Linked DNA regions of Lytechinus pictus. The protein of the gene in region 1 purifies or fractionates together with the protein of each later gene. This does not show direct contact. Links are inferred from orthologs where the notes say so. Each region holds a gene or a part of one and is shown on either strand. Other genes may lie near its edges.

Region 1 (7,321 bases):
AGCGTAGTGTAGCGGTAGTGAAGTGGAGTGGAGCCTGTACCAACTTCGCTCGAGGTACGGTACATGTAATTAACCTGTGTTTTTAATGAAGTACAGGTAAAGTTTTTCTCTACTAACCAGCAACCAGATGAACCTCTTCCGACACCAGGGCCTATTACGTTATAAAGTTACTATTACGGTAACTTTGCTATCCAACTTCCCTGAAATCCTTGATTTTGATTGGCTGATGAGCGATGTTACCATGGTAGTTACCAATGGATAGCAAAATTACCATAATGATAAAAATGCGATGGCCCCTTGAAATTTAACAAATTAATTTTTCATGAAAAGAAAAGAAAAAATAAATCTTCCTCATTTCATGCTCTTTCCTTGAACCAGATTCACCAGTGAATGTGTAGAAAATAATGAAGTCTCTGGATTACCTGACAGTATGGCTGTTTTTAAACATTGCCAGGGCTTTATCTAATCCAAAGCCACCCTCTGTGCCCCCCCCCCCCCCCCCCCCCCGCACTTCGAAATTTTTGTGCCTTTCAAACCTTTTTTTTTTATTTGTGCTGAAATATAAGAATATACCCTTTTAAACAGTGGCCTTGACATAAAAATATTGACATCTAATACTTGCACAGCATAGTGACAAAAAGGAACTTACAGATGTAGTATGATTCTAGTTGTTGTCTTAATCTGACTTGCTGTAGCTCTTCTTTATACCTGCTGTTAATAAGATCTGTCTGATCTCTAGTCTTCTTCATAGTCAGCATTCTAACAATCTTTCCTTTGTTCCTGAAAAACATAAACACATATTGGAAAAAATGTTAAAGGCCAAGTCCACTCCAACAAAAAGTTGATTTGAATAAAAACAGAAAAATCCAACAAGCATAACGCTGAAATTTCATCAAAATCGGATGTAAAATAGAAAGTTATGACATTTGAAAGTTTCGCTTAATTTCACAAGTTATATGCACATCCTGGTCAGTATGCAAATGAGGAGACTGATGTCATCCACTCACTATTTCTTTCGTATTTTATTATATGAAATATGACATATTCTAATTTTCTCCTCATCGTCAAGTGAAACAATGATTAATTCCTCCCCAAACATGTGGAATTAGCATTGTTTAATACTACATGGTTCAGTCAAGTTGGTCCTTATTGTCAAATCTGTAAAAAATGATATAATTCAAACAATACAAAAACAAAAGAAATAGTGAGGGACATCATCGACTGTCTCATTTGCATGTCACTGAGTTGTGTGTATCACTGTTTTGTGAAAAATAAGTGAAACTTTAAAATGTCATAGCTTTCTTATTTTACATCCAATTTTGATGACATTTTCGGTGTTATTCTAGTTCGATTTTTCTCTATTGATTCAAATCTACATTTTCTGGAGAGGACTTGACCTTTATTCCTTTAATGAATAAAAATCATGAATAAAACCCTGTTCACAGTGGTGTAAAGAGCATGAAATAAAATTAAAAAGGAAAGAGAAGGATGAATGACATAATTTTCTGAATATTGTCAAAATCTTTCACAAAATTTGATTTTTGTAATGAAAATGTTGAAATTTTTGCTCCCTCACTCGCAACTTTCATTTCAAAAATATAATTTTTGCCCGATACGCCATATCTAATCCCAGCCACCCCTCAAAATGTTCGCCTCATTACGCCATTGCCTGTTCATTTATGGCCAAGATATTTTTGGCTCTTGCCCCCCCCCCCCCCCCCCCCCTGCTGGCCACACGACCTCTGGCTCTGACCTCTCTGTCTCTGTTAATTATTATTATGGCTTTCCCTGGCCCTGCCAGACCCTGGAATGATTCCAAATTAAATTCCAATTGCCAGAATAGGCAATTAGCTAAGTCCCACATAAACTTGTAGAGTTAGCTTGTTCTACTTTTCGATTGTCTTAATTTTACGTTTACTTTAATAGACTTTTGATGCACGGAGCCTAACAGTAACACATAAATATGATTGGCTCTATTCATTTGTGTGCACTAGAAATCGCACGCGCTTATATACGAATTACGATGAGTATCAACCGGGCAGAACGTTACTCGACTCAAATTAGTCTAACTGAACTAAAGAAAGCTAAAGTCGAAACTTACTTTCGGACATAGAAAAAGAACCAAAGCGAAACGACGATAACAACCATGTAAATGTTAGTTGCTTCATTCCAGTGATCGATGTGTTCCTCTGGAGGAAGACCATGGTTTTCATGCGCCATTTGGATTATTTTTAGGATCAGTCAATCAATCGCATAAAAATAACAATAAATAAAACCGTCTATGGCAGGCCATAAGGGAACCAATTATTTAGTGTCATGTGCATAGCATGCAGACTTGGAGAGAAAGTGCCAAAATGGAAACGCCATTTAAAGGCCCTTCCTAATCATGTTAAATCAGTTATGATTTTTCATATTTTAAAGAGGTATTGATTAAAGCAAACCTAAGTCACAATTACTAGTGACTTATAAATTTTGTCTTCAATCTTAAAAAAACAATAAATTATATATGTATTTCTGATGTAATTTTGTCCCACTCAATGAACCTAATATAAAACGTGTATGTTGATGGTTAAAAATAAACCACGCATCGGATGTGTTTTGGCAAATGTACTTTTTTATGAAGAGGAGCAGTGTCTTGCCTTTATATAAATTCTGATTTGTATATCGAACATGTCGACTGAGCAAAATTGGCAGCCGCACATTTGGTTAATGTGTAAAAAATTGTGGCTGGAAGGTTGTTATATCTCTAAAGACTAGCGACTCAAGTGCATGAGCAATTTTATTTTCTTGAGATAGGGCTTGATCGAGTTATGATCTATATTATTATATTTTGTAATCACTTTCTATATAGACGTAAAAGAGACAGAATGGCAAAACAAGCGTGGAATATATGACATTCAGTTTGACTTTATAAAATCATTTCACTGTAATATAAATATTCCTCTTTTAAAAAACATTTAATTCTTTACAAATATGTTTAAGTCTACATTTAGTTTAGCTAAATCCCACAAAGTTATCGCTCCAATTCATGATGAATGTGTATACTAGGGCTGTATACCCTAAATTATGACGACGTGAAGGATATGAAATAGAAATGTGTTTTATTATATATCAAAATGTTATTTCGATACTGGTGCCCGATCGAAATAAGATATCTGTTATTTTTTCATGGGGAGTTGTTATATCTTTTCAATCATGGAATTGGCTGAAAGATTTAGTATTCAATAGCTTTCTAATATGACTGATAATTTGTAGAGTAAGTGCAAGTGCTGCTTTTAATAATAAAAACATCACCCAGATACTAGGGGTACTAGGGCGCTTTTTTTAGTGAGGCCAAATAATTCAAATCCGAACGGCGAGGTGCCGTGGCCGAACGATCTATATAGCCCCTGACTACGCCATATGGAGAATTAAATATGACAAATTAAACATTTTTGTTTAAGAATTTGTTTAAACAACTACTGTACGACATAGTAAACAGCGCAAATATAGAAATAAAATATGACATGTACCGGGTATGCATCATTGACCGTCAAAGTGTGTCACGTGTTTAGATTTTTTTTAAACCTGCTGAATTGTTAGATTTTAATTCTAACGTCCGCAAAACATCTAATAATTAATGAACCCTTTACACTTTTGTAATATGTTAGATGACACTCAAGTATTACTGGCTATTTTAAAGCTTTCGACTGGCTTAAAGAAAAAAGGTTTAACTTTTAATAAAAACATGCACTTTTACTAAGGAACATTGTTAAAAGCTTTTTGCTTTCACAAATCATAATTATTTCACAAGCATAGTTTATTCGAAATTTTGGCCCACCCCCTGAAAAAACGTATAATAATAATAATAATATAGAGTATTTCTAAAGCGCCAAATCCACATTGATTATGTGCTCAAGGCGCTGTTTAAGAAAAATATATTTCATTCCCACAGTGACTCTCCACGAATCACTTCATTTGCTATGAAAATATATTTAATTTTTTATTAAAAAAACATATCACTTTTCGCAAGCATATAGTTTTTAACAAAATAATTGCTATGGGTGTTTTTAGTAAAATATTTAACTTTCTTGGAACTTTTTTTGTGAAACATTTTTTGTGAAAAGTGAAAAATACATTTTCTTAAAGTGGAATATTATGTTTGTGAAAAGATAAATGCATTGTTTTCGTAAAAGGAAAAAATATGGTTTTATACAAGAGAAAAATATATATTTCTCAGAATGAAATATTTATCCAAAAATGAAATATATTATTGTTGGAGTAAAATGAATTTTAATTTTTAATTCTTAGTTTATGGCGTCCCATATTGATCTTCCAATCCGATCCCGCGCGGAGCCTTGTTTTTTACGTTGTAAGTCATTTGTTCTAAAGTTCTGATTAATAATTTTATGAAATAGAATAGAAAATATAAATAGAGAGTCTACCTTTCATATTAACGCATCATACTTTACCCTACAAATACAATACCGTACTGGTAGTCGATGCCATGATTTTCAGCCAGGCAGGGCCAGGGGCACTGCCAGTGCCACTGACCGATCCGAGTGAGGCTGATCTGGGCTGCTACTGCTACCGGTAGCTCCGCCGCCGCCGTAACTTCGGGCGCGGGCCGAGCTCGTGCTAAGACTTGAGTCTTGACACCGGCGCGGCAAAGCTTTTGTCTTTTGACATTTTTGTAGGCCTTTTACTGAATTATGCATAGAGCCATATTTTGGTATGTACTTCCACTCTCCCATCATATATGTTCTAGAAAATTTAAGTCTAGTTTCACGAAGAAAGAAATACTCCCAGAAACAAAATTCACTCGAACTCTAGTCTAGACTAGAGTCTAGTCTAGTAGTAGTACCATGAGTACCGTTACTACTAACTTAGTAGTAGTAGTACTAGTAGTACTAGTAGTCCCGTAGTACTGGTATACTATGACAGTAGAGGCGCACGGCCAATATAGGAGACTCTCTCCAATAGGGGAGACAATCTCCCAAATTGGAGACTTGCTTTGCAAAAGGACAAAAGAAACAACACCAACAAAAGCATGTTTTTTCCACCCAAAATTTTGTCTCACTGAGGTCAGAAGCCCGTTTGTTTTGTGTGTGATTGACAACAAAAATCCTTATCAAAAATATCAAAACAAAAGTAGACGGTGAATTTTTAAAGTAGTACTAGTAGACGGTGAAAAGGGGTAATTTTGCACGAGGAATCTGCTTATCACATTTTTATTTGCCGCCAAGGTAATCCTTTTGCAGCAAATGTAAATAAAGGAAATTGGTCTCCAAAACTGGAGACTGTCTCTGAAATCGGATACCCAAATTCTTTACAAAAGTCTCTGAGTCTGATATTGGAGATAATCTCCCACATTGGAGACAGTCTCCAATATTAGCCGTGCGCCTCTACTGTATGAGGCAACTTTAAGTTTAACCAGAGCAAATTGAAATTTTGAATTATTGTTTTTTTTTTCTGCTGCACATCCATATTCCATTTCCAACAAAGAATCTGTAATAGAACAACAACATTACTGAATGACAAGGTTCATTGGTCTGTATTCGTTGGGCATCAAAAATCTATAAAGAATTCTGTAATTGTAATTATGATTCTCATATTTACTCTATACTATAGCTTTGCCATTGGCTTTGATGGGCTGTCATCTTAATGGTTTTGTTGAAACAGACAGGTCCTCATCTTGACCAAGGCATACCTTATAGATCTGAAGAAGCCACAGGATCACCCACAATGCAGCAGTCATTCCGTCAGCTTGAAGAGAGAAACCTCTCTGTAGAGGTTACCCTTATGCAGTGGTCCCCCAAGATGGATCTCATTGCCCTAGCCAATGAAAATGGAGAGGTATGTTCCTACAAAGTGTAGTATATTTAGGTCAAGTCCACCCCAGAAAAATGTTGATTTGAATAAATAGAGAAAAATCAAACTCAATTCAATTCAAATTGTTCAATTCAAATTGTTTTATTCTCTCAGTAAAACCTTTACATAAAAAACAAATATAATACAAAGTTAAAATACATGTATTACAAATCAGTGTAAAAATTGCATTATGATTCAGAATCATACTAGCATATCACAAAAAATTTCATCAAAATCGGATGTAAAATAAAGTTATGGCATTTTAAAGTTTCGCTTATTTTTCACAAAACAGTGATATACACAACTCGAGTGACATGCAAATGAGTCAGTCGATGATGTCCATCACTCACTATTTCTTTTGTTTTTTATTGTCTGAATTACACAATATTTCATTTTTTATAGATTTGACCATGAGGACCAACTTGACTGAACCATGTAGTATTAAACAATGTTAATTCCACATGTTCAGGGAGGAATTAACCGGTGTTTCACTTGGCAATGAAGAGAAAATGAGAATATTTAATATTTCATATAATGAAATACAAAAGAAATAGTGAGTGGATGTCATCAATCTCCTCATTTGCACACCGACCAGGATGTGCATTTAACTGTTTTGTGAAATTAAGCAAAACTTTAAAATGTCATAACTGTCTTATCTTACATTTGATTTTGATGAAATTTTCAGTGATATGCTTGTTGGATTTTTCTATTTTTATTCAAATCAACTTTTTGTTGGGGTGGACTTGTCCTTTAACAGTAAATTACCAGTTGGTCTACACCAGGGTTGAGCTCAATTACTTTCTTCAATTACAATTACGTAATTGAAGAAATGTTCAATTACAATTACTTTTCAATTAAATTACATTTTTTCAATTACAATTACCAATTGCTTTTGTCAATTACAATTACAATTACTCAAAAAATGTAATTGATTACGTAATTGATCAATTACCTTGTAATTGAGCACAACCCTGGTCTACACTCTTCTTTTTCTTCCTGTTTTGTTCCATCTTACATGGTCTTATCTTAATCCATCTACAAATGGCTATCTAACCGTTTGGTCTAATTGCTTTGTAGCTCATTTACCATTTTGTTTAATTTCCAGTTAGACTCTGCCCATTTTGTAGGGAAAAAAATGAAATACAAGTCTAAAATGGATACTTGTAATTCATTGAAATTAAATTTGTGTTTGATTTCTGGATTTGAGTTTTGATTGCATTGTATTCTGCAGCAAGGCCCATACAACCAGTTCATGAGATTGAGTTTTGGAAGAAATGTTTGCAAGTTGTTGATTATAGTGCACCTCAAAATCACTGGATATGCTGTGAGAAGTTTGGATCTCCCATTTTGCTGCTCACTTCAATCTTAATCACTATCGTTCAGTCAATTTTTTGTTGTATTTTGAATGTTAGGGCTTTTGAAGATAAGTCATTTGCAATAAACCTATTTATTATTGCTTTCACCCCTCTTA
Region 2 (7,083 bases), on another chromosome or scaffold:
CAAAATTTTGTGTTTTCGGCACAAACATTATTTATATCATCAGAAAGCTCAAATTCTATACTTTCTTACAATGTCACTCTTGATATGTGGCATCTTTTAGATGGGTCAGCAGCCAGCTTTTTCCATCAAGATGCAAGACGAGATTTCTGAATTTTTTGAGTAGCATAAAATCCAGAGTTCTGATTGGCTGAATAATGTTTTCAAAACAGGCGAAGGTATTATTTGAAGAGATAAGGCCTGGGGAACATTGGAATTTGCGTGGGTGTGTGGTCTCTATGACCAATCAGAGCGCAGTATTCTTGTTTTTGAGCTGGTAAATGTACTTGGCCTATGAAAAGCTGGCTGCTGACCCATCTAAAATACCTCTTCTTTTAAAAATTATATCATATTAAAGCTTAGATCTTCAGCTTTATCATAATCTAAAAATCATTTGGGCTCAAACAGAAATTATGTGGAAAAATAACAACTTTTGTTGCATGAAAATAATTACTTTCTATTGTGTTTTAGATCAAAAGTTTCACCTATATTACACAATCTTTTTAAAAATCCAAACACATGACCTGAAAGAATGATTCTTCTTCTTTACAAAGATACCAAAAACATGAAATTTTGTCAATATTTAGAGCACCAATAACCGGTGTGTTGGCTCAGTTGGTAGAGCGTCCGTCTCACAACCGGGAGGTCGGGGGTTCAAACCCCGGCCGCGTCAGACCAAAAGACGTTAAAAGATGGGAGTTGCTGCTACCCTGTTTGGCGTTCAACAATTAAAGGGATAGAGCCTCGTCGATCTGGCGCTGCACAGTGGCTGCCGGGCCCACGATCAATTGGGCAAAACAAATTTTCGGAGTAATTCATTTCTGGTGTCTATTTTGAACTACATGTATAAAATATGGATTTTAAGATTTTTTTTTTGAAAGATAAAAAGAGGCACCAAGCTCATTAACAATGCAAAAACCCTCTAGTCATGAATATCACCTAGATAAAAGAAGCTACTTTTTCAGGGCTTGCCGCTTGACTGGACACACAACCTGTCCGGACGCACGACCACTGGTAAGTGCTATAGAGTGAGTGATTGTATTACCGACCGGCTTGTATTACCAAACGCGCGCATCATACGCGTCAGTATATCATTTCATCCACTCAAAACTTTGCAACATCCTTCCAAACAGAACTTGAATAGAAAGATGATGAAAAATTGTCAAAATCACATTTTCAAAAGTCTTAATATTCTAAAAATAATAAAATATGGTCAAAATAGCTCATCAGTGATTTTGTTGTTTTCTCAATTATAGAAAACACACATTCGGTAATACGATACCTTTTTCAAGTGACCAAAATATTTCACATGCGAAGAGGGGTCAGATTGGCAGCAGAGGCGCACGGCCAATATTGGAGACTGTCTCCCATGAGAGAGATTATCTCCAATATCGGAGACTTTTGTAAAGAATTTGGGTATCCAATTTCAGAGACAGTCTCCAGTTTGGGAGGCCAAATTCCTTTGTTTACATTTGCTTCAAAAGGATTACCTTGGCGGCAAATAAAAATGTGATAAGCAGATTCCTCATAAAAAATTACCGTAAGTAACGGTGTATTAACCGCACCTTTTTCTCGGCGGGATATAAGCAAAAGTCGGGGGTGCGGTTTATACACGGTGACGGGTCTGAGCCCGCCCGCGTAGCCCCTCCCGAACATGTAAGAAGTCTGCCAGTTCACAACACATCGAGTGGCCGGCCGTAGCCGCCCAGTGCAATGTCGTTTAGAGGGGTATGAGCCGCGGGTAATGGGTAGCGATTATTATGATCTTATGATCAAATACTGTCGTAACAAATGCACCCACCTTCATGACACTAATTTCGACTTTATTCTCGATTCAAAGCAGCAAAGTTCCCTGGCTAAGTTCATAGAGACGCCAAGCATTCTCGGTGATAATTTGTCACAGCTGAGCGAGAGCCAAGAGCTAGCGCTAGCTTGCGTTGTATTTTGGTTTTAGTGCGACTTAAGCTGGCGCTATTCATTTAATTTAACCCCTCAAAGTCCCGTTTCGCGCCAGCTTATTTTTTTCTTTCCCGTTTGCTTTTCATAAGATACCATGTACACCGTGCACCACGCACGATAGAGACGGCACAAAGCCGTCAAACAACTGGAAAAAATACAAATTTCTTTGTTTCTTGAACCTTCCTGTAATCCCGTATCCAAAATTCATGCTAAGACATCGAATGCTAGACAAATTCTGAAAGTGATTGTGAGGTTGTGATGCAAGAAATGTGAAAGACACAGATCACAATTTGATAAGATGTACTGGTAGTGGTACCGTATCGAAGTTTGAAATGTACATGTACAAGAAAGGCAGTGCTGTGTGTGTGTACACTGTGCTGTGACTGTGAGGTGAGTGAGTGTGTAAATTGCCAATATTGGCGGGACCTTTCTTTCTTGCTAACATTTGTAGATGAATTGATCAAGAACAGCAGATTTCTGCACACTGGTAATCTCTTTGAATACTTTGAAATCTTTAACTTAGTTTTTGTTTCTTCGTACCTCAAATATGCATGTAAATGTGAGGTTTTTTTTTTTTTTTTTTTTTTTTTTTTTTTTTTTTTTTTAGTCCAAAGTTGGGGGTGCGGTTTATACACGGGTGCGGTTAATACACCGTTACTTACGGTACCCCTTTTCACCGTCTACTTTAAAAATTCACCGTCTACTTTTGTTTTGATAAGGATTTTTGTTGTCATCCACACACAAAACAAATGGGCTTCTGACCTCAGCGGGACAAAATTTTGGGTGGAAAAAATTATGCTTTTAATTTTGTTGGTGTCGTTTCTTTTGTTCTTTTGCAAAGCAAGTCTCTAATATGGGAGATTATCTTCCACATTGGAGAGAGTCTCCCATATTGGCCGTGCACCTGTACTGATTGGAAGCTAATATCGTAAAAAAGAAAAAAGATTTTAGCAAAATTTTTACATATTTATATTTTGTAGGTACGGTAATTGTGTATCTATATATTTTTTTATGAGTATGGTGAAAGATTGATGAATTTTATGACAATAATGTGTTTGATATGATTGAATTCATAGAAAAGTGTTCGATAATACAATCCACTACAAAGTACAGCTTGCGCTTGCTGGTTAGTGATAATTAGGTCGGTCGCACATGCGCAGATAGTTTTCAGTTACCGTCCAGGGGCCGATTGCACGAAAGGGTCTTTCCAAGGACCGTCTTTCGTGTCGCCCATCTTTTATGATGCGCTATAAGCAGGGTGGTGTTTCTGAAATTTATGATGAACAAATAAAATTCGTAAGCTTGCTTTTAAATCAAATTTTATAAAATTTCATGAGATATCAGATCATTTTATAAACAAATATTTTGTTTATTTTAACGGACAAATAAAATATAGGCCTATTTGCAGATAATTTATTTGAAATGCGTTTCACATGGCGTATCATAAAAGATGGGCGACACGAAAGACGGTCCTTGGAAAGACCCTTTCGTGCAATCGGCCCCAAGATTTCTCCCGTCGGCCGTCGCAGATTGAAAGCCCTGCCGCGCCGCGGCCCCAACCGGCGCCGGGCTCCTCCGGCGGCGAGGCAGAGCTCGTTGATTTACGTACCTTCCTGCATGTGAGCGAACACCTCACGTGTATTGACCAATGGCAGAACAAGCAGACCAAAATTTGGACACATCCTATGGCTGCTAAAACGATCAATCCAGCTTCCAAATATTCACTGACCCCATAGGCAACCACCAAAAGATATAGCCATGCAATGTATATAAATATAAATGGGAAAATATATCCATGGAGGACTAAGGGCCGCAAATTATATGAGGTGACACTCTCAATTTTTTCTTCCATGGAAGGTGCCATATTGGAAAAAGGTACAATGATTACAATTCACTTGTTAATATGATTAGATTTTATTTTTTTAATACCAATATATTGATCAATTTGTCATTCTCAAAAAATACTAAAGAATATATATATTATTTTCAATCTGAAAATATAGTTTATGAATTATTTACTTGAAATTTTGATTGCTTCATAATATAGACTGAGCGCCAATTTCTGATTGGTTTGAATATGGCTGCATATACTTCAGTCAATTTAGCTTGGGATGAAGTCACAAAATGTCTCTCAAACATCACTTTCCATACGGTGAGACCAATGAAATCGTATTTTATCGTAGATAATTACATGATATCTAGTAATTGTGTGAGATTATTTGATTGAATTGTTGTAGAAAGATATAAATTGTGATCAAACAATGGCTTAAATGTCACTTGATAAAATCCTGCCAGAACTTAGACATGGAAGAGCTCGGGCTCATCTTCGGGGTCGGGCTGTATGGGGGAGCGACCGGGCTGAGCTGTGGCTGTGCGGACGAGCTTATCTTCTGCCGGCTGCGTACTCTGCCAGCCAAGACTCAACTTCTAAACTTGAGTCAAGAGCCCCGAGTTCCATATTTATGATGAATGATTTAAAAACAACTATGATCTACTATAGCTAGGCCCCAGATCAGGGTTGGGCTCAATTACAATTTTTACAAAGCAAAGCAATTCATGAATTAGATCTAGATCTAAAGCCAAACTAGGGAAAGTAATAAGTTAGTAATTGAAAAATTGTTTGACTTCAATTACTGTCGATTACTTTTAATCCGGGCTTATGATTAGATCTACTTTCAATTACATTGTCTTTATTAGGCCTAGATCTACTTACTTTATTATTTAATTTACTCTGGATTGCTTATTTCTCTTTTCCCATAGCTATAAAAGTAATATCTTTTGCATGCAACTGTAGGCCTATCCTTTCCCATTAATATGTAGAGGAAAGAGGAGACACTTGACCATTTGAAATATTTGAGAAATTTTGCAAAAGGTCATACTCATAGGTTCCAACAAGAATTGAGAAATCAAACTATGTAATTTTTCATATTAGCAAAGCTACATTTCTTATATTATAATTTCATGCAGTGGCCTCATTTGTTTGTAACAATAAATGTTAGATGTTAAATCTGTATACTTAAATTTGGAATAGCCTACCCCCCTCAAAAAAAAAAAAAATCAGCTTTAAGTGGGTGATTGCGAAAAATGTGGATGAAAAATACTTTTTTTACTGCCCCCTCCCCTATAGGTGAAAGCTGGATCCGCCCTTTGCACGACTCAAAGTCAAGTTTACATGTTGTACATTATGATTTCTACATATGAAGAAAGCATGCAGATCTACATTTTATTGAGAATTTCAATTGAAACAGAGCAATAGGCAGGATCAATGCTCTCTAAACTAATAAAACCTTCATGTCAGTTTCTCTCTAACTTATAATTATGTTGAAATGGGTGGCACTACATTTAAAATATGAATTGATTTCATTTATGACTTTATTAAAAGTAATTGAAATTGTAATTGATAAAAGTAATTGGTAATTGTAATTGAAGAAAGTTATTGAGCCCAACTCTGCCCCAGATGCGTAGACGTAGACTTAATTAATATCCTTGGCAAGGGCTGGGCAAGGCCGCTTAACTTTAAACAAGGACAAAGACTGATGTGATGCCGTGGCAAAGATAATTAAATCATCATCATCATTGTACAGAAGAAGTAGGTAATCCTGTATTAGTGCTTCCGATCATTCCTTTGAGATTACTTTTACTGGTTTTTAAAAACAACTGATTAACGTGTGTGGAGGGTGGACATAGCCAGGAGGCTCCTAGAGAGTAAAAATCATTCACTAACGTGTGCTCTCCACGGAGTCGGGGATTGCGTCCCATTCATGTGCTTGTACCACAAAAAAAATTGAAATTTTCGCCCCCAGAATTCCTACTTTCCTTCTAAGATCTAGCCTTAAATCATGTAAATGGGATACAACTTCATTTCCGACATTTATACGATATTGATTCCATTTTTGTCTCACCTGCATAGCAGAGTGAGACTATAGGCGCCGCTTTTCCGACGGCGGAGACGTCAACCCCAAATCTTAACCAAAGGTTAAGTTTTTGAAATGACAGCATAACTTAGAAAGTATATGGACCTAGTTCATGAAACTTGGCCATAAGGTTAATCAAGTATTACTGAACATCCTGCCTGAGTTTCATGTCACATGACTAAGGTCAAAGGTCATTTAGGGTCAATGAACTTAGACCATGTCGGGGGAATCAACATCAAAATCTTAACCTAAGGTTAAGTTTTTGAAATGTCAACATAACTTAGAAAATATATGGACCTAGTTCATCAAACTTGGCCATAAGGTTAATCAAGTATTACTGAACATCCTGCATGAGTTTCACATCACATGACCAAGGTCAAAGGTCATTTAGGGCCAATGAACTTTGGCCAAGTTGGGGGTATCTGTTGAATTACCATCATAACTTTGAAAGTTTATGGATCTGATTCATGAAACTTGGACATAATAGTAATCAAGTATCACTGAACATCCTGTGCAAGTTTCAGGTCACATGATTAAGGTCAAAGCTCATTTAGGGTCAATGAACTTTGGCCAAATTAGGGGTATTTGTTGAATTACCATCATAACTTTGAAAGTATATTGGTCTAGTTCATAAAACTTGGACATAAGAGTAATCAAGTATCACTGAACATCCTGTGCGCCTTTCAGGTCACATGACCAAGGTCAAAGGTCAATGAACTTTGGCCATAATGGGGGTATCTGTTGAATTACCATCATAACTTTGAAAGTTTATGGATCTGACTCATGAATCTTGGACATAAGAGTCGTCAAGTATCAGTGAACATCTCAGTGAGTTTCAGGTCACATGACCAAATTCAAAGGTCATTTAGGGTCAATGAACTTTGGCCATGTTTTTTTTTTTTGTTGAATTACCATATCTCTGTAAGTGTATTGGTCTAGATCATAAAACGTGGACATGAGAGTAACCAAGTATCACTGAACATCTTGTGCGAGTTTCAGGTCACATGACCAAGGTCAAAGGTCAATGGATATTGGCCATGTTGGGGGTATTTGTTGTCAAATTACCATCATAACTCTGTAATTTTATTGGTCTAGTTCATAAAACGTAGACATAAGAGTTCACATGACCAAACTCAAAGGTCATTTAAGGTCATTGAACTTTGGCCATTTTAGA
Region 3 (7,842 bases), on another chromosome or scaffold:
TCATGCAACTGAGGTATGTTTATACTCTAAACACTCACATTTGTATTTCTTGAATTACATCTGATAAATAAAATAAATAAATTAGATTTCTCACAGGCAGCCTCTCATATTTTCCTTTTAAGTCTCATACAATCAGACACTGTTGATTTTATTTACTCCATTCAAACCCTATTTTTACCTCAACAGATAACATATTAACGCATAATTTGCAAAATCATCATTATATACATGCATATGTATTCTAGAAAAAATCAGTATATTGAACTAATAAAATGTTGAAATTACTTAGTTAAATCAATTTTTATGTCGGACAAGGGTCTCTTTCGTTGAAATATCAATGAAAGGTGTCTCTAAAAGGACACCGTGTTCTTAATAAGGGAAATAATGAAAATTTCGATTTTATCCAGGGGCGGTATTCTGAAAATCGTGTTAATTTTCGTGTTAAATATCGTGTTATCTCTCTGATTTAACACGCCCCTAACATACCCCCAAATCGGTATTCTGAAAAGCGTGTTATCTGCATGTTATCTCATTTCGTGTTATCTTCAGCTCCTCCCACTCTGCATCTATTTAATCCAATCAAATGCGCTGTTAAAGAAACAAATCGCGCAAAATTTTCAGGGAAAAGGGGAATTGCGCGCTCGGTGACACGAAACCTGCATTGTGACATCATTTTGTAAGCGCATACAGCTAAATAAAAGTTAGGGCTGGAAATAGACACAGGGAGGGGTGATTGTGACAATTAAGAATTTAATTGAATTGAAATATTGAATTGAATAACTATATTGTCCATAGAGGAAATTCTTCTTTCACTGGTTTACACACATATGTAGATACAACGTGTATACACAGAACAGAACACAGAATGGAGTCAGACGGCGTGGATACAAAATTATGACAGGAGACAGATGCCTCGGTCGATTGGGGAGCAGGCAGGGGACGATCGCCCCTAAAATATGAGGGCAAGCATAATTCATGAAAAAATATATTTGAAATGTAAATTTTGAAAAGCATGAATAGCACTTAAGAAAAATTAAATCTGACATAGAAATATCAAACATACAAAATTGTAATTTTTTTTCTTTATTAAAATATTGGATGCGTATAGCGATCGATCAGCCAAAAAAAAAAATCACTTTTGCCCGCCCCCCCCCCTGATCCGAAGCATATAGATTGACTGGTGGGATAGATGAATTAAGGATAACCTAGAAGCATTGAGAGTTAAAAAGGTGTAATTATTGGAACTATATAACCATTGAAAAAGGGTAAAAAAATTGTGAATATTATAGAAGAGTTCCCAAATCGCCAATTCCATTCTTTTTAATTTCTGTTTGTGTTTTTTAGACGTTTTAAAGTTTCTTCCTCTCCATCCGTCTTTTTTTATAATATTGCAAAAAGTAACCAAATAAATAACTTATGAGCATTTATGATAAATATTTCAATTAATCAAAATCAAAGATGCATTTGAAGTGTATTTTCACAGGATATTCCAAAGAAAATGTTGTTTTATCATTGTTAGTAGAGAGATAGGTAGATGGAAAATAAAGCTGGAAAATGAAAGAAAAGTACAGTAAATTCTGCCAGACGATATACATATGCTCGTATATGTTCTTTTTGACGTTTGCGTCTGCTAGAAAAAGTGCAGCCATCGTCATCCACAACTTAACCTCTCCTTAATGCAGTGTTAAATGTTCGTGTTATCTTTGAACAAAATTTTAGCTAACACCAATATCGTGTTTTCTTCCTCCCTAACACCGCGTATGGGGGTTGCGCGTTGGGCCACGTGTTTTTCATGCTAACACGATTTTCAGAATACCAATCGTGTTAGCTAACACCGTTTTTGTGCTAACACGGTTTTCAGAATACCGCCCCAGTTGTTTGTGAATCTTGATTTTTTTTCCTCTTTTTACCTCATAAAGTACGCTCCATAAATTCTACAATCAGTAATAAATAAAACATTATTTGATCCCATTTTACTGAAATATATGATTTTATGAAAAGTCGTCATTCCGAAATAAAAGGTTCAGGTGACGATGAAGACTAAATATTTTTCCGATACTATATCGATATCAAACGATGTCGCGGACTTGAAAGACAAAATTGCCTTCGTGAAACGGAAAGCGCTGATTTGTCGCCAATCTTCCTATCTCGGAAGAATGGTCCTAGGACTTTCCTACGTATTGCTCATCTCGTCATGCAACAGGCCCCATGTCTGTAGAAGTATATGTCAAAATATTACAAAATATCAGACATGGAGTCCTCAAGGCTCAAGTCAGAGGCAAAGCCAAAGGTAGTAAACATTCGACCCCCTCTAAATTTCACATTTATTTTTTATGAATTTTTCAAAAGTGCCATTTTAACGCACAAGTCTAAAGACTATGGGGAATGTTTTACGCGCGTACGCGTGACACCCACAGGGATTGGACGAAGTACGCCCTCTCTAGCGTTATTAGCTAGGCCCTATATCTCTTGACTTGTAGGATGGGGGATCGGGTGTCCGGACACTTTATATTTTTGAAGCCTTCTTTTTTGTCTTAAGATTACACTAAAAATATGAATTCAATAGTTGTAATCATCTTCTATTTTGTTCTCTATAATATTTTCTAAAATTTTGTACTAAAATTTGATGAAACTTCGCTTGTAATTTTTTCCAAATGACTTTCTAAAATTGATCATCCGGACACACAACCTGTCCGGACACACAACAACTGGGTATATGATATGCAGACACATCACAAAAAATCATGAATGGGACTGAGGATGCTTCCTAGAATCCTACTACACTACCGGTACGTCTATGTAGTAGACGGAGACCGGAGTGTGCAGTACTTCAGAAACTTCATGCCTTACCAAAATAGACAAATTTCCAAAGAGTCCTTCCTTTCGCAGGAGGCGAATGTGATCCATCAACCAGACACCCATTCTGACGGTTTTTTCTTCCTACTTGCTGTGCTTAACTTGTTAACAAGTGTAAAATTCACACTCCCAAATTCAAGGTAGGCACTTATGAACCAAGTTTGAAAGGAGACTCGTAAAATTACGTCACTCTCGCCGATGAATATTCATTAGATCGTGGTCGTGCGTGTTCAATACACACTGAGTACAGCTGGCATGCAGAAAGTTATATGCGAGGAACTTTGGCTCTGGACAGAGACAAGTTGTCAAATAACGTGTGTGTGTGTGTACCATCGGCTGGTAGTATTCCATGCTGTTCTACAAACCGCGTCGGAGAGAGTGCATGGCAATTCGGTAAAACGAAGTTTCCGATATAAAGAGATAATAACACTATGTACAGTACGTTGAGAGGCAAATGTCAGATCAGGGGAGGCAGGAGTACAATGTTTTTTTTTTAGGGAAGAATAATGTAGAATAAAAGGTATTATATATAGCCAATTGATCTAGGTGAGGGATTAAGCTTATAGCGAACAATGATGTTTAAAAAAGAGAATGAATATACCTTACCTGAATATTATAATGGTGAAGCCAATTTAAAAGGAGGTGAGGCAAGTTTCAATGGAGGTTTTTAAAAAGAATAAACTGTACTACAAATTTAAAAGGAGGCGAGGCAAGTTTCAATGGAAGCTTTTAAAAAGAATAAACTGTATTATGGTGAAGCCATGCAATTTAAAAGGAGGTGAGGCAAGTTTCAATGGAGGTTTTTAAAAAGAATAAACTGTACTACAAATTATGGTGAAGCCAATTTAAAAGGAGGTGAGGCAAGTTTCAATGGAGGCTTTTAAAAAGCATAAACTGTACTACAAATTTAAAAGGAGGCGAGGCAAGTTTCAATGGAGGTTTTTTAAAAGAATAAACAGTATTATGGTGAAGCCAATTTAAAAGGAGGTGAGGCAAGTTTCTATGGAGGCTTTTAAAAAGCATAAACTGTACTACAAATTTAAAAGGAGGAGAGGCAAGTTTCAATGGAGGTTTTTATAAACTGTACTACAAATTATGGTGAAGCCAATTTAAAAGGAGGTGAGGCAAGTTTCAATGGAGGTTTTTTTTAAAGAATAAACTGTATTATGGTGAAGCCAATTTAAAAGGAGGCGAGGCAAGTTTCAATGGAGGTTTTTAAAGAGAATAAACTGTACTACAAATTTAAATGGAGGTGAGGCAAGTTTCAATGGAGGTTTTTAAAAAGAATAAACTGTACTACAAATTATGGTGAAGCGAATTTAAAAGGAGGTGAGGCAAGTTTCAATGGAGGTTTTTAAAAAGAATAAACTGTACTACAAATTATGGTGAAGCCAATTTAAAAGGAGGTGAGGCAAGTTTCAATGGAGGTTTTTTTTAAAGAATAAACTGTATTATGGTGAAGCCAATTTAAAAGGAGGCGAGGCAAGTTTCAATGGAGGTTTTTAAAGAGAATAAACTGTACTACAAATTTAAATGGAGGTGAGGCAAGTTTCAATGGAGGTTTTTAAAAAGAATAAACTGTACTACAAATTATGGTGAAGCGAATTTAAAAGGAGGTGAGGCAAGTTTCAATGGAGGTTTTTAAAAAGAATAAACTGTACTACAAATTATGGTGAAGCGAATTTAAAAGGAGGTGAGGCAAGTTTCAATTGAGGTTTTTTAAAAGAATAAACTGTACTACAAATTTAAAAGGAGGTGAAACAAGTTTCAATGGAGGTTTTTAAAAAGAATAGACTGCATTATATGGTGAAGCGAATTTAAAAGGAGGTGAGGCAAGTTTCAATGGAGGTTTTTTTAAAAGAATAAACCCTACTACAAATTTAAAAGGAGGCGAGGCAAGTTTCAATGCAGGTTTTTAAAAAGAATAAACTGTATTATGGTGAAGCCAATTTAAAAGGAGGTGAGGCAAGTTTCAATGGAGGTTTTTAAAGAGAATAAACTGTACTACAAAATTTAAATGGAGGTGAGGCAAGTTTCAATGGAGGTTTTTAAAAAGAATAAACTGTACTACAAATTATGGTGAAGCGAATTTAAAAGGAGGTGAGGCAAGTTTCAATGGAGGTTTTTAAAAAGAATAAACTGTACTACAAATTATGGTGAAGCGAATTTAAAAGGAGGTGAGGCAAGTTTCAATGGAGGTTTTTTAAAAGAATAAACTGTACTACAAATTTAAAAGGAGGTGAAACAAGTTTCAATGGAGGTTTTTAAAAAGAATAGACTGCATTATGGTGAAGCGAATTTAAAAGGAGGTGAGGCAAGTTTCAATGGAGGTTTTTTTTAAGAATAAACTGTACTACAAATTATGGTGAAGCGAATTTAAAAGGAGGTGAGGCAAGTTTCAATGGAGGTTTTTTTAAAGAATAAACCCTACTACAAATTTAAAAGGAGGCGAGGCAAGTTTCAATGGAGGTTTTTAAAAAGAATAAACTGTACTACAAATTATGGTGAAGCCAACTTGAGAGGTGAGGCAAGTGTAAAATGATGTTTTAACAAATAATGGATATTATGTAGAAGCAAACTTGAAAGGAGGTGAGGCAAGTGTACAATGATGTTTTAACGAAAAGGGTATTGTAAAGCCAACTTGAGAGGAGGTGAGGCAAGTGTAAAATGATGTTTTAACAAAGAATGAATATTATGGTAAAGCCAACTTGAGAGGAGGTGAGGCAAGTCTACAATGATTTTTTTTTAAAGAATGATAAGTGTAGAATATAATTCAAATGATGAAGCCAACTTGAGAGGAGGTGCATGAGGCAAGTCTACAATGAGGTTTCTAAAAACAATGAATAGTGAAGAAATAGATTGCAATTGCTTGTAATAATCCACAAAATTGTGTAGTTACTTATTTCATGCAAATTGATATTAATTGATTATGCTCATTTGTGCATAATTAGTATACTATACCAATTCCTCTAACTCCCCAAATAAAGCTCCAAATGGTCTAATTTTTGGTTTAGAAACTCTTTGTGGTGTTTTTTTTAATAATTCTTGGGTTTTGTACTTTTGTATTGCATTGTTTTTTTTTTCAACGAACTTTGCTGGGACTCTCGTAACAGCATAAAATAAATCAGTTTAGTTCAACAAAACTAAAAACAATTAGGCATTTATGAATTTTGGTTGAAAACGCATATTCCATTGACGTGGTATACACAAATATCACAATTTTGAGTCATTTTTGTCTGATATGTACCTTCAAATTGTTTGGTAATTTTCAGAACCCAGTACCCGGGCTTCGCAAAACATGCAAAAGACTTTTTTTTTAAATCACAGAGCTCAGAGCCCCCCCCCCCCCCCCCCCCTGCGTAATTAGGTTAAGTATGCATTAATTTTGAACATTTCTATTCCCCAAATATGTAATATCCCCTCCCCAAAAATGCAATTATCACTGAAATGGAATATACATAATATATTTTTTGATAAGCCAGGTTATGCAAAATAATCATCACGTCGTCATCCTTTGTCAACAAGAAATCTGAACATGTCCTCTGGAAAAAAAATAATACCTCGGCCGCCTATTAAATTCTAAGTTTTCATTTTGTAAGTATTTTACTTAGCAATTTGGCTGGCTTAACAAAATGCTTAAACTTGATGCAGATCAGATCTCAGAATTTACCTTATCCAAATTGAAGTAAATACTAATACCCATTGTGATGTTATAAATTTTGAGCCAAATAGTGCCAAATATGTGAATGTATTTCTGTGCGTATCATTTTTGTATATGTAGACTTAAGACTAGTAGATGGCTGACTTACATTTAAGCAAAATATTTAGCCAAAAAAAAATGCAATTGAATACCAAAGATGGATAAGTACTTTACTTTTGCAAAATACTGAGTAAAATATACTTAGAATTGTGGTTTTAAGAGTAGCATTGAATACCGGCCATGTTCCTCATCATCATTATCATCCCACTACCACACCAGTTTCTGCAGCACAAACTTTAACTTTCATAGGTTGAGTCCATTTCAAAGCCAACACTGTCACTTTAACTTTCTTTTTTCTCTTATAACATGACGTCCACACACTGCCAATCACATCATTACAACACCAACTGTCAGAGGACAACAGAACTGCAGTTACCATAGCATTACCCCCAAAACACCACTCAATTTTGAATTGATCCAAATGAAATATGACTGTGTTGCACAAAGAAAAGCTATGTAGTCATAGTAGATTTTATTGACTTGTACATTTATAAGGCTATATATTTTGAGTAATTGTCGTGTTGTCTTTAGTGATAGTTAGTACCCACTGTGCTTATGGCCAACTTTGGTAAAGGCATACATTGAATAAACTTTTATGTACTGAAAATGATGACAGAATATATTCTAAAAAATAACATTAGAAATGCATGACAGGTAATGCAACATATTTCAACATGAACTATTTCACAATTTGCCAACATGAATAAATACTAACCTTAAAAAAATAGTAGAAGCTGATGTTGGATGGAAAAGAATATCTATGTCATACAGCTTGAAATACATTACATATGTATGCACTTAATGGTATCTACATGATCATTAAGTTCTTCTACACAGCTTGATATAATGTTGATATATCCAGTTTGGCAAGTACTGTTGTGGTTGAGGCAAGGTTAATGGTTTTTTCTGAATACTGAACCCCATTTTGTGTAACGAAATTAAATCTATCAGAGTTACATGACAAAGTACAACAGAAGAAAATACCAACAGCTAGGCAAGCTTTTTTACATAAATATTTTTTTCATATACTCTTTGATATTTTTTCTCAACAAAACAAAATGTGGCCAGCCACCCAAATATCAACAATAAGTTGCCAGGGAAGGTTCGTAAAAAATAACCAAAATAGTAATTCAGTTTTCCAAACGCATATTTAGAATATTGGTTTATCCGAAAAAAAAAATTCTTCATACTGTCAAAATGTGAGGTTGTAAAAGTTGAAGACAAAA
Region 4 (7,238 bases), on another chromosome or scaffold:
AACATTATAATACATTGCACATAATAAACCCTCATACAGCTTGTCCCAGAAAAGAAAATAAAGAATTGTCTTAATTTAATCACAAATATTATTAACAAATATGCCAAGGCCATGAACCAGGGCATCGCAAATTTGGTCTAAAAAATTGCTTTAGACTTGAAAGAAAAAAGTCATGAAATGAAACATGCAAACATTTCACATCGGAGATTTTAGGGTTGAACATGCCATAATTTGAACATTTATAATTATTAAAAAATACATGCACCTTCCTATTCATTCTAAACACTAACTTACAATTCTTTTAATAACTTTAAAAATGCTGCCGCTGGAGGAAAAGCAACTCCTCTATCTACTTCAACTATGCAGGAGAGGCAAAAATGAAGTATTTGGGCAATTCCACAAGTTGGTGGAAAAGAAATAAACAACTAAATGATCAAACAAAATCATTTTTTTCCGTTTTTGGTTTCCCTGATTTCCATAGGATCTCAAACCATATCAGTAAACTTGCCAAGTGCTGTGCAACTAGAGAGAAAAAAACCCCATGAAGTTGCAAATTAAACATGGTTTCTTTGGTATGGTTTTCATAAAAATTGTGATGAAGGAGAAACATTTCTATACTCTCTTAAAGGCCATGTCACCCTTGGACAAAATGGAAAGCAAGCAACCATGTTTCCCATCTCTTACACAAAAAATAAATATTGCTCTCTGATTTTACAACATATGAGGTTTCCATCTTTCCTTAGAATTTTCCATCTTTCCTAAGAACACATTCAACTCAATTCAATTCATTTTCCACATATTGAGTAAAAAACATACAATATCAGTAGGCCTACAATCAAATACATCCTAGATAATTACAATACAAACTAGTTATAATATGGCGTACATAAAAAAAGACGTAGAAAATCAAAATGTGAAGGGGATTGACAAAGGCCATATTGATCTGTCAAGGTCAATCCCCAATGAAAAGAAAAATGGATTAAAAATGGAATACATAAATTACATATGAGAAGAGATACTTGACCTCAAAACCCCAGATAAAGTAAAAGACAGTAAAAGACGAATGAAGGGGAGGGAGGGGCAAATATAAAACTACCTTAAGGAGTAAGAAGGGAAATTTTATATCTATGTTTGAAGGAGTGTGGAGTGTGGGGAAATGTTTGAGTTCATTTGATAAAGAATTCCAAAGTTTGGGTCCGACATATATATTGAATAGTGTTTCGTGAAAATGTGCATTTCAAATTTGGAATAAAGAGATCATTAGCTTGTCTGGTTAGACAAGTTAACATCTTGTCATATTGCTGTCCAAGAAACATGAGTAACCAACCCAAAAAAAACAACCAACATTGTGTCTCTGAGCGCTTTACATGTTCATATTCCCCCCCCCCCCCGAGTCCCCGATCACAGGATTCCGACATGCCCGCACACAATGTATGCACTTTCTCTATACCCTGGGGAGCATTTCAACAACAGTTCCAAGACTCAATTGCTAGGCCTACTACATAGGCTTTCGCATCCTACCGGGTACCCATTTAGGGTTTATTATTTATTTCCAATTCTTCTAATGCCAATTCATCCAATTGCCAACTCGTCTACTATCATTTGGTCTACCATTAGTTCGTCCACTCACCACATGGTCTACTTTCATTTAGTCTAATGCCATTCCGTCTAATAACCAGTTGGTCCAATAGCCATTTAGTCCATATACCATTTGGTCTAATTGGACTAAGTGTTAAATTGTGCAAAATGAATGAAAATGAAATGGATATTAGACCAACTGGTTATGAGACGACAACACTTCCACTCAAATTTCCATTCCAATGCATAGCAGTTTTCTCTTCTCAAGAAAAAAACCAGAATCACCACTCCAAAACATAGATGGGGCATTCCATCGAGTCAGTCGCATTTCATCTTTGCTGGTCAAAACTTGTCATTGTTACAAGGGCGAGTCTCTCTGTCAACTTTAACTTGAAATCAAAGCTTTATGAGCAAACTGACCAACATGATTATGTTCCTTCATGAACTGTGTGTTAGAAAAAAAAACTAGTCTCAAATTATATACCTTTTGACATAACCTGATAATAATACAGAGAATATTAAAGTAGCATTATATTAATTACATTTAAAGAGAATTAAATTGTTGAGAAGAGGAAATGCACTTGTTTTCTATTTGGTAATTAATGCTCTATGAATGTACTGCATAGTGAATTTTTAAATCATTCATGTAGACATAACACTACTCAGAATGGTGCATTATGGGTTCGGTGCATTATGGGTTCGGAGACTGGCCAGATTAGAGTATGGCAGTGGATTGTATTACCAAACACTTTTCATGAATTCAATCATATCAAACACATTATTCTCATAAAATTCACCAAACTTTTAACATAAATACACAATTACCTACAAAATATAAATATGTGAAAATTTTGCCGAAATTGTTTTTCCTTTTTACGATATTAGCTTCTAATCGGACCCCTCTTTGCACGTGAAATATTTTGGTCACTTGAAAAAGGTATCGTATTACCGAACGTGTTTTTTCTATGGGAAAAGTTGAGAAAACAACAAAAACACTTATGAGCTATTTTGACCATATTTTATTATTGTTAGAATATTAAGACTTTGAAAATGTGTTTTTGACCATTTATCATCAATTTCTATTCAAGTTCTCTTTGGAAAGATGTTGCAAAATTTTGAGCGTATGAATTTATTTTCTGATGCGTATGATGCGTGCGTTCGGTAATACAAGGCCGGTTGGTAATACAATCACTCACTATACTACTTTAGAGTACTAGGCTGCTGGATCATACTTGCATATGAGGAAAAAGCTGCAGGCTGTATGCAAAGACATCCTAAGAATTGGATAGCCGATCATAGCCCCATTAGAAAAATGTACATGACAAAGAATTAACTAATTACTTTCTTACTCAAATCTGAACACTTTTACCAATTTCACATCAGAGCACGATTTTCACATTGATAGGTCTATCTCTTGTAATTTTTGTTTAAAAAAAACCAAAACTTATGGGTCTGTCCCATCACAGTTTGTCCAGCACCAAAAAAAAAATGCAATTTCAACACTTCAAGCAACTTCTATTTGCATATTTTCTTTTCCACTGATGTTACAGAAATGACCCTAAAAATATCAAAATGATTAATGAAATTCCAAAGAAAAGGTCATGATTCTGATTCCCACTCCATGAGTGCAGTGGAGGCAAGCCCTAATGTTTATAGATCGCCTTCTTCTTCTTGTTTTTTCTTGAAGTGAACTACCTGGAGTTAGGCCTACCTTGAAGGCTTTTCTTCATCAACAGTTTGTCAGTAGTTCCATAGACCGCCCTTTTCAGAATTAGCCTGTTCCAATCGAGCCTATTTTTAATTTCGCTCCCAGCATTATGCAGTTATAAATGCTCCACTTTTTTGGGGTTGAGTGCCAATTCCCTGCCCCCTGAACGCACATTATTCAAAGGTATAAGTGCACAAGGAATCTAAATCATATGGATAAGAATTAAGATAACTAATGCGTTTACGCGTTAGTTAGCTTCACCTTTGAGAGGAGAAGGGGGAGAACCCCTCCGGAGATCATGTGATCAACTGATATTGTCAATATTACCATTATTGATAGCGCTGATTGATGTCAACCAAAAATTTGCGAAAATGAAATCTGCAGTTTGCATCCTCCATCTCACATCCAACATTCTCATCTGGGCAAAGAATGGTTTGCCAAGATTCAATGGATATGGCTGCCTCTGGAAAATATTATAAAGTGCAATAAAGCCTAATAAAGGGATTAAAAGTTACATTCTACAAAAACTAAAGCCAACAATACAGTCTATACACACACAAACATACATTACATACTGCACGCTCACTCTCAGCTCTGGTACACAATCGGCCTCGCTGAGATTAGGCCGTAAACGCAAGGGAAGGGACCTCCCCATTATTAACACAATACACATGTGGAACAACACACGTCGAAGGGATCAAACGCAACATCAAGGGGGCTCAAAATGCACAATCCAGACAATATAAGACTATCTATTTAATTGAGATTATCATAAACAATTGGGTTTATTATTACAAGTCACGTCACAATTTCAAACATGAATGGTTTGGGGTAAAACAAATGAAAAATACATACCAAAGCGTCCACTATCCGGAAATTTATGGGTACCGCTCGCGATCGCGTTTTCCGATCAACGCTAATTTACATGCCAGATTCTGAACGCAGATGGCGACATTCCACAAATCCGAACGATCGATCCGAAACGTGCAATTATATCGAAGCGGTAAATTAGATTTGTCTTGATTGAGCCCTGAGTTGATGTCAACTCCGCCCGTGAAAATACTTGAATTGTCTTTTTCAGATTCATGTGAGACTATTGAATTAGAGGGAAAGCTGGAAGACGAGGTACAGTATGATTTTCTGAAGAATTGATTATGGAATACTTCCAGACTAACGTTAGATTGAAATTCAAATTATTATCATCGACCTGCATCACGTCACCTCAGGCTCAGTCCCACACCCTTTGGCTTAACTTCCTTAAGTTTTGCTCGATGCTCATTCTGAATTTTAACATTGTGACAAGTTAACGTTAGAATATTATATCTAATTTATTACACTCTATTGACAATTTATTTTCAGTAACTTTAAAGTTTGCAATGACCTTCTCTGATTTAAGGATATATTTTAAAGTGGTTCTTTTTTAGTGACATTTGCCATTTGATTCAAGTGACAAGTTTCAACACCCATTTTTTTTCATTGAATAAAACAAAAATGAATAAAAATGGGTGTTTATTACATAATGGCATAACAGACAGGCCAGAGGGAGGCAGTCTGACCCCAGCTCCTGGAAGATTTTTACCTGGAAATTCAAAAATACAAGTGGAATAATGAAAGGAAAGGAGACTAAAGACATGGAGAGAAGAAAGAAATAAAATTAAAACTTAAAAGAGGGATGTGAAGAGGGGAGAGGAGAAAGAAGAGAAAATACATGAAAGGGAAAGGAATAGCAAGGAATAATTTTCCTGGTATCGATCGCAATTTGCTCCACACTTTTGAAAGACTGCTATGCCAGGGCTCCACACTAACCCTTTTTTTCTACTGGTCCAACCTATTCATGTCGGACCAGTAGATACCCAGTTTTTCCATTTTTTACTGGTCCGAACCTAAAATCTACTGGTCCCCAAAATAAAGAAAACATTAAAAAAAGGCGTGAGTTTATTTTGCTGTCCTTTCTTGTTACCCCCCCCCCCAAAAAAAATGAAGGAATGAAAGAAACAAAGGAAGAAATAATAAAAGAAAGGAAGGAAGAACAAATAAAAGGTAAAGAAAGGATAGATGTGAAGGAAGGAAAAAAGAAAGAACAAAAGAAAAAAAGGAAAAACAAAAGACAGAAAGTAATGAAAAAAGGAAAGAAGCAATAAAATAAGAAAGAAAGGGTATAAGGAAAGAAGGAAAAAAGATAGAAAGAAAGAAAGGAAGAAAAAGGGTAAATAAAGGATAAATGTGAAGGAAGGAAAAAAAGAAAGAACTGAAGAGGGAAAGGAAGGAAGGAAAGAAAGAACAAAAATAAGAAAGAAAGAACAAAAGAAAAAAGAAATAAAGGAATGAAGGAAAGAAAGAAAGAAGGAAAGAAATGAAGCAAGCAATATAGAAAGAAAGAACAAAAGAAGGAAAGAAGCAATAAAAAAAGAAAGAAAGGGTAAAAGGAGAGATGGAAAGAAGGAAAAAAGAAAGAAAGTATTGAAAGAAGGAAGAAATAAAGAAAGGTAAAATGATAGATAGAAGGAAGGAAGCAAGCAAGCAATAGAAAAAAGAAAGAAAATGTAAAATAGATGAAAGTAAGAAAAAAAAGAAAGACCGAAAGACAAAGAAAGGAAGGAATGAGGGAAAAAAAGAACGAAAGAAGAAAGGAAAGGAAGCAAGCAGTAAAAAAAAAAAAAAAAAAAGTAAAAGGATAGATGGAATGAAGGGAAAAAAGAAAGGAAGGAATGAATGAAAGAAAGAGAGAAAGGGCTGAAAGAAGGAAGAAATAAAAAACAAGAAATGGTAAAGAAAGGATGGATGGAATGAAGAAAGAAACAAAGAATGAAGGAAAGAAAGGGTAAAAAGAAGGAAAGGAAGAAAGAAAGAAGAGATAAATATAGGATGGATGGACTCAAGAATAAAAGAAAGAAAGAAATCAAAAAAGAAAGAGAAAAAGAAATAGAGAAAAATGTTAAAAGGACAGAAAGAATGAAAGAACGAAAGACAAAGAATAATTAAAAAAGAAAGACAGTAACAAAAAAAATTAAAGAAGAGAGGGAAGAAACAAAGAAAGATTGAAAAGAAAGAAGGAAAGAAAGATAGAAAGAAAACAGAGGAAGAAAGCTAAAACTATCATAAATAAATTATCAGTTTCTTTTTGGCTCAATTAAGATATAGCTACGAAAGAAACCAAGTGTATCAACACACACACAAATGCATATGTGGGGCTATCATGTATTCAGACGATATCACTCGAAACCCGATCTCTTTGAACTAAAACAGAAGTGAAAATTTCTCCTTTTACTGCTTACAAATGACAGTTACCCCAATTTTTTGGAAATATGGACATTATAAGAGCTTTTCATTAGTGTGAAATGTGAATTTTGACCGTTCTGTGAGAGATTTCTGCCAGAGGTTTGCCAAGCTTCGTTCGTGCAGCCAGTAGAAAATTCACCATGTGGGCTGTGTGGCTGGCTAGCCATATGTACACTGTATGTTACCCTAGTAAAAATTGCATGCGATTCATTCTGTGTGTGAATGACCAAATTTAACGGGAGGAAAATGGTTTGCAATTTGAGTCATGGAATATTTTTTATGTTTATGTTGGACTAGTGAATTTGACCATTTCTGGAAAAGTTACTGGCCCAACAATGGTTTTTATTACTGTTTATGTCGGACCCATAAATCTTGCTATTTTTGGAAAAATTACCGGCCCGACAATGATATTTTCTTACTGGTCTTGTCGGACCAGTAAATCTTGCTATTTCTGAAAATCTACCGGCCCGACAGTGATTTTTACCGGTCTGGGACCGTCGGACCGGCGCTAGTGTCGAGCCCTGGCTATGCCAAGGCTATGCATATAAATCTTTTGTATAGCATACTGCATATTTTTACATAGGACTACTTTACTTTAGTTGAGAGCTTTTCTCTTAAAAAGTCTTATGACCCAAAATGCTAAATTCAAATAATGTAGTGTACTGAAAAATTA

What was found.
Region 2: the proteins of anaphase-promoting complex subunit 4-like (region 1) and anaphase-promoting complex subunit 2-like purify together in Homo sapiens (affinity purification with western blotting; 12 studies listed by BioGRID and IntAct, with this or other methods). This does not show direct contact. The link is inferred for Lytechinus pictus from reciprocal best matches to the Homo sapiens genes ANAPC4 and ANAPC2.
Region 3: the proteins of anaphase-promoting complex subunit 4-like (region 1) and anaphase-promoting complex subunit 7-like purify together in Homo sapiens (affinity purification with western blotting; 14 studies listed by BioGRID and IntAct, with this or other methods). This does not show direct contact. The link is inferred for Lytechinus pictus from reciprocal best matches to the Homo sapiens genes ANAPC4 and ANAPC7.
Region 4: the proteins of anaphase-promoting complex subunit 4-like (region 1) and anaphase-promoting complex subunit 1-like purify together in Homo sapiens (co-purification; 13 studies listed by BioGRID and IntAct, with this or other methods). This does not show direct contact. The link is inferred for Lytechinus pictus from reciprocal best matches to the Homo sapiens genes ANAPC4 and ANAPC1.

The regions. Positions count from the first base shown.
Region 1 is NC_087256.1:13,044,984-13,052,304, reverse strand, and holds the start of anaphase-promoting complex subunit 4-like, read left to right. Parts: upstream 1-4,308; 5' UTR 4,309-4,351; intron 4,352-4,476; exon of another isoform or gene 4,477-4,711; intron 4,712-5,610; 5' UTR 5,611-5,643; coding exon 5,644-5,835; intron 5,836-7,321. Other genes in the region: small integral membrane protein 19-like, read right to left, coding at 650-780, 2,102-2,220. UniProt on the Homo sapiens protein: Component of the anaphase promoting complex/cyclosome (APC/C), a cell cycle-regulated E3 ubiquitin ligase that controls progression through mitosis and the G1 phase of the cell cycle.
Region 2 is NC_087259.1:2,283,096-2,290,178, forward strand, and holds the start of anaphase-promoting complex subunit 2-like, read left to right. Parts: upstream 1-4,058; 5' UTR 4,059-4,072; coding exon 4,073-4,147; intron 4,148-7,083. Other genes in the region: endoplasmic reticulum transmembrane helix translocase-like, read right to left, coding at 3,605-3,859. UniProt on the Homo sapiens protein: Together with the RING-H2 protein ANAPC11, constitutes the catalytic component of the anaphase promoting complex/cyclosome (APC/C), a cell cycle-regulated E3 ubiquitin ligase that controls progression through mitosis and the G1 phase of the cell cycle.
Region 3 is NC_087246.1:28,909,786-28,917,627, reverse strand, and holds the start of anaphase-promoting complex subunit 7-like, read right to left. Parts: upstream 3,026-7,842; 5' UTR 2,923-3,025; coding exon 2,851-2,922; intron 1-2,850. UniProt on the Homo sapiens protein: Component of the anaphase promoting complex/cyclosome (APC/C), a cell cycle-regulated E3 ubiquitin ligase that controls progression through mitosis and the G1 phase of the cell cycle.
Region 4 is NC_087251.1:44,500,813-44,508,050, reverse strand, and holds the start of anaphase-promoting complex subunit 1-like, read left to right. Parts: upstream 1-4,229; 5' UTR 4,230-4,324; coding exon 4,325-4,411; intron 4,412-7,238. UniProt on the Homo sapiens protein: Component of the anaphase promoting complex/cyclosome (APC/C), a cell cycle-regulated E3 ubiquitin ligase that controls progression through mitosis and the G1 phase of the cell cycle.